2 linked regions of the Sus scrofa genome follow. The protein of the gene in region 2 binds, or shares a complex with, the protein of the main gene of each other region. Links are inferred from orthologs where the notes say so. Each region holds a gene or a part of one and is shown on either strand. Other genes may lie near its edges.

The links.
Region 1: the proteins of PRKAA1 (region 2) and PRKAB1 are in contact, whole or in part, in a crystal structure (PDB 6C9H), measured with the Homo sapiens proteins. The link is inferred for Sus scrofa from reciprocal best matches to the Homo sapiens genes PRKAA1 and PRKAB1. Residues at the interface, in NP_006242.5 of Homo sapiens: Gly20, Val22, Lys23, Ile24, Thr32, Lys40, Lys42, Asn59, Arg60, Ile63, Arg64, Val69, Ile72, Arg73, Ile76, Gln77, Val93, Ser95, Thr96, Pro97, Ser98, Asp99, Ile100, Phe101, Met145, Met175, Ser176, Asp177, Gly178, Glu179; in NP_006244.2 of Homo sapiens: Pro79, Val81, Arg83, Leu103, Pro104, Thr106, Val113, Ile115, Asp159, Phe160, Glu161, Val162, Phe163, Ala165, Leu166, Met167, Val168, Asp169, Ser170, Gln171, Arg201, Ala202, Pro203, Pro204, Ile205, Leu206, Pro207, Pro208, His209, Leu210.

The regions. Positions count from the first base shown.
Region 1 is NC_010456.5:33,215,198-33,219,116, reverse strand, and holds the start of PRKAB1 (5'-AMP-activated protein kinase subunit beta-1), read left to right. Parts: upstream 1-1,490; 5' UTR 1,491-1,867; coding exon 1,868-2,026; intron 2,027-3,919. UniProt on the Homo sapiens protein: Non-catalytic subunit of AMP-activated protein kinase (AMPK), an energy sensor protein kinase that plays a key role in regulating cellular energy metabolism.
Region 2 is NC_010458.4:25,762,841-25,766,659, forward strand, and holds part of PRKAA1 (5'-AMP-activated protein kinase catalytic subunit alpha-1), read right to left. Parts: intron 2,068-3,819; coding exon 1,926-2,067; intron 297-1,925; coding exon 203-296; intron 1-202. UniProt on the Homo sapiens protein: Catalytic subunit of AMP-activated protein kinase (AMPK), an energy sensor protein kinase that plays a key role in regulating cellular energy metabolism.

The sequences.
Region 1 (3,919 bases), on a different chromosome or scaffold from region 2:
TTAGAATATTTTAGTACCATATGTATACACACTCTTTGCTGAAGGACTGGCCGTAGTAAATGACAAACACTAATAAATAAATGCATTTTGTGTAGAATGATGTGTTCAAAGTGATTTTTAAATATCTTGCAAAACTGCCTATCAAAAGGTTGTGCACCCCTCAGTTTTTTGAAAATACATTAATAATGTAACCAAGCAGGGCCCTGTGGGGCTCATAGGCACAAAAACTTTTCTGTGTCCCCAATTTCTTGTTTTTATGAAATGTGCCTCATTCAGCCTTGTTGGCCTTCCCTGAGTTCCAAGGGGCAGGTTCAGACACCTACTGATCAGGGAAGGAAGGAGAGACAAAGAGAGAATCAGTCAAGCAACAATGGTACAGCCTTGGGGCAGGATTCTGGTTCCCTCTCAAGGGATACACATAATGATGCAGGCGTCTTATATACCAAGAGAAAAGTTATATTCTTTATGCTTCCTTTGGAAATGAATACTTTAAAACTGAACACCTTAGAGCCCTTCCTTGTGCTTCTCCCTCACTTGATTTCATCCTAAACACAATCACCTGTAAACTAAAGTTTAGGCACCCTGAACACAATTGCCTGTGAGTTAAAGATTATTAGCTGTGATGTTTTCCAGGAACTTTCCTAGTTCTAATCTCTGATCAATATGCCCTTTTCACAAGTAATGTTATTCTCAGCAATAACCCAGAAGACGGTGATCATGCCGAGATCTCCTGATTCCCACTTTGATGACCAAGATTCCCCCAAAGTAAGAAGAATCCTGTCTCTTATCTGGAACCTTGTTTTTCTCCTTTTAGACTATAAAATTCCCTTCAATTTCCCCCCAAGGGATGGCACAGTCTTTAAGGGATTAGGCTGCTGTAGCTTCGTTTGCCTGGCAAAGCAATAAAAACTAGCTTTTTTCTCCTTTACTCTGTCTCCGTGTTTCTCCTGCCTTTTATGCACACACCCCCACCCACAAGATACTAGATGTGAGAAATTTCCAGAGAGCTTATGGTCTGTCATTATCTCAAACACCTGCAGGACTACTTGCATCAGAATCACCTGGTGTGCTTATTAAAATGCAGATCCCAGGCCAGAGCTTCAGAATCACAATTCCCAGGAATTAGGGGCAAGTGAATCTGCATCTTAAACAGGCACTCCAGGTGATTCTAACACACTCAAAGGTGTGAGAGCGAGCACATGAAAGATCTTTAAGGAATCGCTTAACTAAATATGCCTTTTAGAACGACCCCTTTGGCTGTAAAGGGAAGAATCAACTTTAAGTGGGCAAAGATAACCAGGGTATCTAACACCATCATTCATCCCAGCGTGGGGAGGACGTCCCACATGGCCGGCGCGCTTCAGCACCCCCTGCCGGCCCTCAGCAGCCTCGTCCCGGGCGGCCGGAGCGGTCAACTGCGACAGCGCTCCCCGAAACCCGCAGGGGCGGTCTGGGGCTAGTAAACGCACGGACGTAGACCGGAAGCGGAAGTGAGGTCCGTTTGCCTGGCGCTCTTCTCAGAGCGCAGCCACCCCCCACCCGGTGGCCCCCGCCGACTTGAGGAAGTGCCGGAAGCGGAAGTTCCTAAGAGGTGGGGGGAGTTGTTGGTTAAGTGTCGGCTTGTCTTTGGAGCTTGGTAGGTTCCCCTTCTCCCCTCGGCTGATTGAGCAGGTAAAGCGCGATTGTGAGACCTCGCCAGCCCTGCCGGCCAAATTCAGGCCGGATCCCAACTTCGAACCCTATTCTGAGGGGTGTGGTACCCGGTGCTCCGACTCTCCCGGGTCCTGGTGGAGGTCCCGGGAGTCCCCGGTCCCTTCTCTGGGCAGAGGCTCGGTCCGGCTTCCCGGTGTCCACGTAAACCCCCGCGATGGGTAATACGAGCAGTGAGCGCGCTGCGCTGGACCGGCAAGGGGGTCACAAGACTCCCCGAAGGGACAGTTCGGGGGGCTCCAAGGATGGGGACCGGCCCAAAATCTTGATGGACAGCCCTGAGGACGCTGACCTCTACCACTCCGAGGAAATTAAGGTAAGGTAATGGGGGTGGAGGGATCCGTTTCTCCTTAATTTCTTTTGAGAGCTACTAGATCCTCCCGCCATATTCCCCTAATGATCAGAAGTCAGAGAGCTGTGATACTTCACACTATGCACTTAAAATCCAGATGGCCCTTTTAGTAACCCAGGAACCTGTGTCGAATTATCGATAAGACAAAGTCACCCCGAGGGAGGAGGATTTCACTTCGTTTAACATCATTAAGGCAAAGGCAGCTCTGGGACAGGTTCAAATCCTTAATTAATTAAGATCGTGGAGTTAGCAGTAATTGAGCTCTAGTCGCTCCTTTTCTCTTAGGTATAATTAATTTCAGAGCTTTGAGAAATCTTTTACCACTTTCATGCACACGGGCGTTTTTTGTAATAGTTTTGCAGTTTATCCTCAATTTTGGAGATAAGGCAGAACACCTGTAAGGTGATAGTAGTGTTCACCAGCTGACCGCAGTTCCCAGAGATCTTTAGTGTTGCCTAAACTTGTGGTTCACGCTTTAGAGCAGGCATAGAAAAGTAATTTGACTTCTGGAGGTCAGTAAGTGAAGTATTAGTCTGAAGGAGGCAGCCAGTTGCTACTCAGCTTCTCTCTCCTGTTGTTTAAATATGACTTAAACTTAATGTTTAATGTTGATGTTTGCCAAAGCAAATGTTTTTGCAGGCCACATTTGGGCATCCTGCCTCAGTCGGCTTGTTAACTCTTAAAAAACTCTGAAGACAAAAATCTTCATTCCTGCTTCAGCTACTTTCCTGCTAAGCATCATGTGGTCTCTTTCTAGAAGGCAGGGCCCAGTCCAAGGACATTTAGTGATTCTAGCAGCTGATAGGTATATGTATACCCTTAAAAAAAAAAAAAAAAAAAAAAAAAATTCCTTAAAGGGCAGTGCAACAAAGTCAGTTTGAAAAAGATGACCCTCCTCCCCCACACACACGCATTCTGTTACCATCCGCTTGCTTGTTAATCATCACTGTCCATTAGGCTAATTGCCTGGTAACTCATCCCTTCTGTACTCAGATTTTTTTTCTCAAATGTTGGGCTGAGTCACGTTATTGTCTTTTGTCCTCACCTGGATCTTGGCTCTGAGGCTGACTCTAAAGAGTCTGCTTTTACTTGGCCCTCCAGCCCGTGGTTTCAACTTGCTTTCTGAATTTGTTGCATTCCATTGCTGTGTGCAAAGTGAACTTTGGGATCCTGTTTCTTCGATGACTAGACATCCCTTCCCCCAAAAGTAATTATGGCCCAAGGGCAGCCATTTAAGACACCCTAAGAATCAAACCATTTTCTTTAAGAAGCACTTGTTCTTCTGCTGTTTTAAAACCTTACAAGAAATGTTTGGCATACGGATACTCTGTAAAGAATGATTTCAAATAATTTCCATTACTACTTCCTCAGAAGTTATGAAATGATGAGGCAGACACATTGGATAGAATGCCGATTAAAAAAAAAAAAGTCATGGATTCTTTTAACTACACTAGTTCACCATTTTGGCTGTGATTAGTTATCACACCCTCAGTGTAAAGTGATTCCAGTCTGTTATTCTTTAATCTGTAGATCTTGTGAAAACTCAAAGAATGCAAGTATCTTCTGTGTGAGCTCAGGTCAGTATTTGAAGCGAAGATACTAGAAGCCTACTTGAGACCTATAAGAGTCTCTCTCAGCTCCTGCTCTCTTCATCTTTGTTTTTGGACTAGGAACAATGTAAGAGACCCAAAACCACATATACTTCACCCAGAGCTAAACAGGTTTATTTGTCTTGTTCCAGAATACCTCGGTTATACACTTCCCACACAAGCAGTTATTTTCTGTAATGAGGGCCAGTCTTTATCTTCTTTGTCCACTTCTCCCTGGTGCCTGGATGGCGCTCAGTGAATAGGTTTC
Region 2 (3,819 bases):
CCATATCTGTGTAAGTAGTACGGAGATAATATTTAAGATCCTTCCTAGCTCTAAACAGTCTCTGATTCTAGGCAAATATATGAATAAAGGAACTGGTTATTAAATAGACCTCTTAACAAAATTGCTTTCTGGTATTTTTTGATGCTAGTAAGGGATAAGGGAAGTTACAAAATATATATAGGATTAAATCAGAACTGCTTACCCTTCCATTTTTACAGATATAATCAAATAGCTCGCCTCCTGAAACATATTCCATCACCATGAAAATATCAGATGGTGTACTGATGACCTGGTACCTGGTGAGAGAAAACATTGTCTACCAGTATTAAACACGTATATTCATTCATTCAATAAATATTTACTGAGTGCCTACAATACACCAGGCATTGCGCCGGGAGCTGGGAAAACTGTAGGGAACAAAATAAATTCTCTACTCTCATGGAGTTCGTGTTCCAGGAGCCAGGAAACAGACACTAAGTAAAAAGGCAATATCTCAGGTGGTGGAACATGCTATGAAGAGGAGAAAAGCAAACTAAAGGGAATCATTCAGACAGGGTGTTCAAGGAAGGCCTCTCTGATGAAGTAACACTTAAGCAGAGCCTTGGAAGTGAGGAAACTAACTCTGCCATTATCTAGGAAGACGGTAAACCCGGCAGAGGAAACAGCAAGTGCAAAGGCCCCCAGGTGGAAACCTGCCTGGCAGGTTTGAGCAATGGTAGGAAGGCTGGAACAGAGTGAGCAAGAAGAGAGAAACAGGATGTGGCCTCCAAGAGGTAACAGAAAACCTTACAAAGACCTTACAGCCATGATGAGGCTCTGGCTTTTATTCCATGGGAGAAAGAAAGCTACTGAAGGTTTTAAGCAAAGTTGTCCTGTGATCTGGCTGATTAAAAGAGTAACTTTAGTTTACAGCAGTAGTGTGAAGAACTGACTGGGGGCAGTAAGGTGGTAGTAGGTGGCTACTGCAGTGGTCCAAGAGAGAGATAAAGGTGGCTCACACTGGGTTGATGACATAAGGAACTGACAAACACTCAGATACTAGATTTATTTTTGAAGGAAGAGATGGAATGGAGGGTAGGAAGTGAGAGAGATAGGAAAGTTAAGGATAGTTCCTGAGTTTCTGCCCTGAGGATATTAACTGAGATGGTGAAATAAAGAGTTCAGTTTTGGGCATGTACCTCGTGCATACCCCAATGGAGGTGTAAAACAGGCTGTGGACATATGAGTCGGGAATTAAGGAACAAGTTTCAAAAGAGGAGATGTATATTTAACGGTCGCCAGCATAAGGATGGTACCTAAAACATGGCACCTCAACAAATGAGAAGAGGTGAGCATGAAACAAATTCTGAGTTAGCCAGTTCAATACAAAAGTCTAAATGGTTTTCATTCACAGCCTGCATAATAAAGCTGAACAGTATACAGTTACCTATAGACCCTACAATTGGCAACTATAAAACAATGATAGTATTGCCACCTTTTGAAATGTTGAATTCCTGAAATCTATTATTTGTTATTTGCTTTATCAGATATAAGCAGTGGGGGGGGCAGAGGGGGAGGGGAGCCCTTTCTACTGCAATGTCTCTAGTGAGGCTGACATGTGGAAATTTGGAGGTCAAGAGTTTTTACTAGCAAATCATTCTTGGCGCTATAGCAATAGGGGTGCTGCAGGTGATCTATCAGAGGGGCATCAGTCCAGAGGACAAGAAAGAATAAGATAGATAACACCCGATAAGCACAAGGGCAAAACATGGACATAGGCTTTAGTGACCGTGAATGGGGTTAGATAAATACATAAATGGGAAGAAGTTTTAAAACCCTCAGGAACAGACTGAAGAAATGTCACTCATCTTTCTCACTTGTCAGATTAAGCAGGTTAACAAAAATAATGAGAAATAACATGTACATTTAATATAATCAGATCTTACAATTTAATTATATGAGGATGCCTGAAAAGCTTGAGGTTCTGAATTTCTCTGCGGATTTTTCCTACTACATCAAGGCTTCGAATCTTCTGTCGATTGAGTATCTTCACAGCAACTTTATGACCAGTCAATTCATGTTTGCCAACTGTAGGGGAAATAATTTTAATAAATTAGTGCCAGGTTTGATTAATAACATACATAGAACTATTCCAAGAGTAATAATCTTAGCAATCTCTGAAAATACTTGAACAACTCCAAGTTCCTTTCAATTCTGCCTGATTTATCCCTGAATGTTTAGATGTTTAAGAGTGAAAGTGGGAAAATAATACTAGTAACAGTGGTCTCTTACAGAAAGAAAAGCTGGAAGGCTAAGGGAGAGAGAAAAAGAGACTTCCTTTTTTGCTCTCTTTCTGTACTTTGAAATCGTCTTAATTTACTTTTCATGTTTTAATCTATCAAACATGCAAATTGAAGTTTTTTCTGTGGTATGCAGTATTAGAGATTTTAACCCAGGTAGACATTGGTGTAACCACCATTACAATCAGATACAGAATAGTTCCATCATTCCAAAAACTCCCTCATATTAAACATACTTCCTCTATCTATAATCACTTGAATCATGAGCACATAGCTTCTATGTTATTAAATAAGAAAAAAAAATTTAAGTGATTATCTTTCAATTTTGAATGCTATAACCAGATAATCAATGGTTACAGTAGAATTTAGACATTTTTTTTTTTATAAAGGCAAAGTCACCAAAAATTTAGCTTCTATCACCCTTTCTCAAGAATCTAGGGGAGAGGCAGTTCCCTGGTGAACTAGTGGTCTATGGGCTAGTGGTCCATGGGCTAGTCCATGCTTTTGCTGCTGTGACCCGGGTTCAATTCCTGGTCTGGGAACTGAGATTGCAAACCACACAGCTGCACACTACAGCCAAACAAACAAGTTAAACAAACAAAAACAAAAGAACCTGGTGGAGAATATATATTCCATCAAAATCAGGAAGGAAATCAAGATGACAGTCAGTAAAGATGGAATCAAATAAATATAGAGGAAAAAGAACTCCCAGTACGGTAATGAAGAAAATCCTAGGTAACAACTATGTAGAAGGCTAGAAGGCAACAAATCCAGACCAATATTATTATTGAGGACCAGGATGGTTATTTCCCAGGAGGTGGGTAGGGAGTGGATAGGTGTGGAATAGATAAAAATTAAATGTTCTATAAGAAAATATATTCATAGGGGAGTTCCTGTCATGGCTCAGCAGAAACGAATCTGACTAGTACTCATGAGGATGCAGGTTTGATCCCTGGCCTCGATCAGTGGGTTCAGGATCCAGCGTTGCCATGAGCTGTGGTGTAGGTCACAAATGCGGCTTGGATCTGGCATTGCTGTGGCTGTGGTGTAGGCAGGCAGCTCCAGCTCCAGTTACACTCCTAGCCTGGGAACCTACATATGCTGTGGGTGTGGCTCTAAAAGGACAAAAAAAAAAAAAGAAAGAAAAGATAGTCATAGTATTGGCTTAGCAAATAGTTTTTATACAGTCACAATTATGAAAACACCAAATACAAATTTTTTTAAAAGTATGACCTAATTACAGTAGAAGAATGAGAGTGTAGAGGAAAAGGTATAAAAGAACTAATATCCTGGACATGGAGGGTATTATGCTTACTGAAGTACATCGTAAGTCGGACAGTCTCCTCAGCAAGTGGTGTTGAGAAAACTGGATAGCCTCATGTAAATCAATGAAGTTCGAACACTCCCTCACACCATACACAAAAATAAACTCAAAATGGCTAAAAGACTTAAATATAAAACAGAACACCATAAAACTCCCTAGAAAATTACATAGGCAAAATATTCTGACATAAATCGCAGCAATATTTTCTTAGATTGG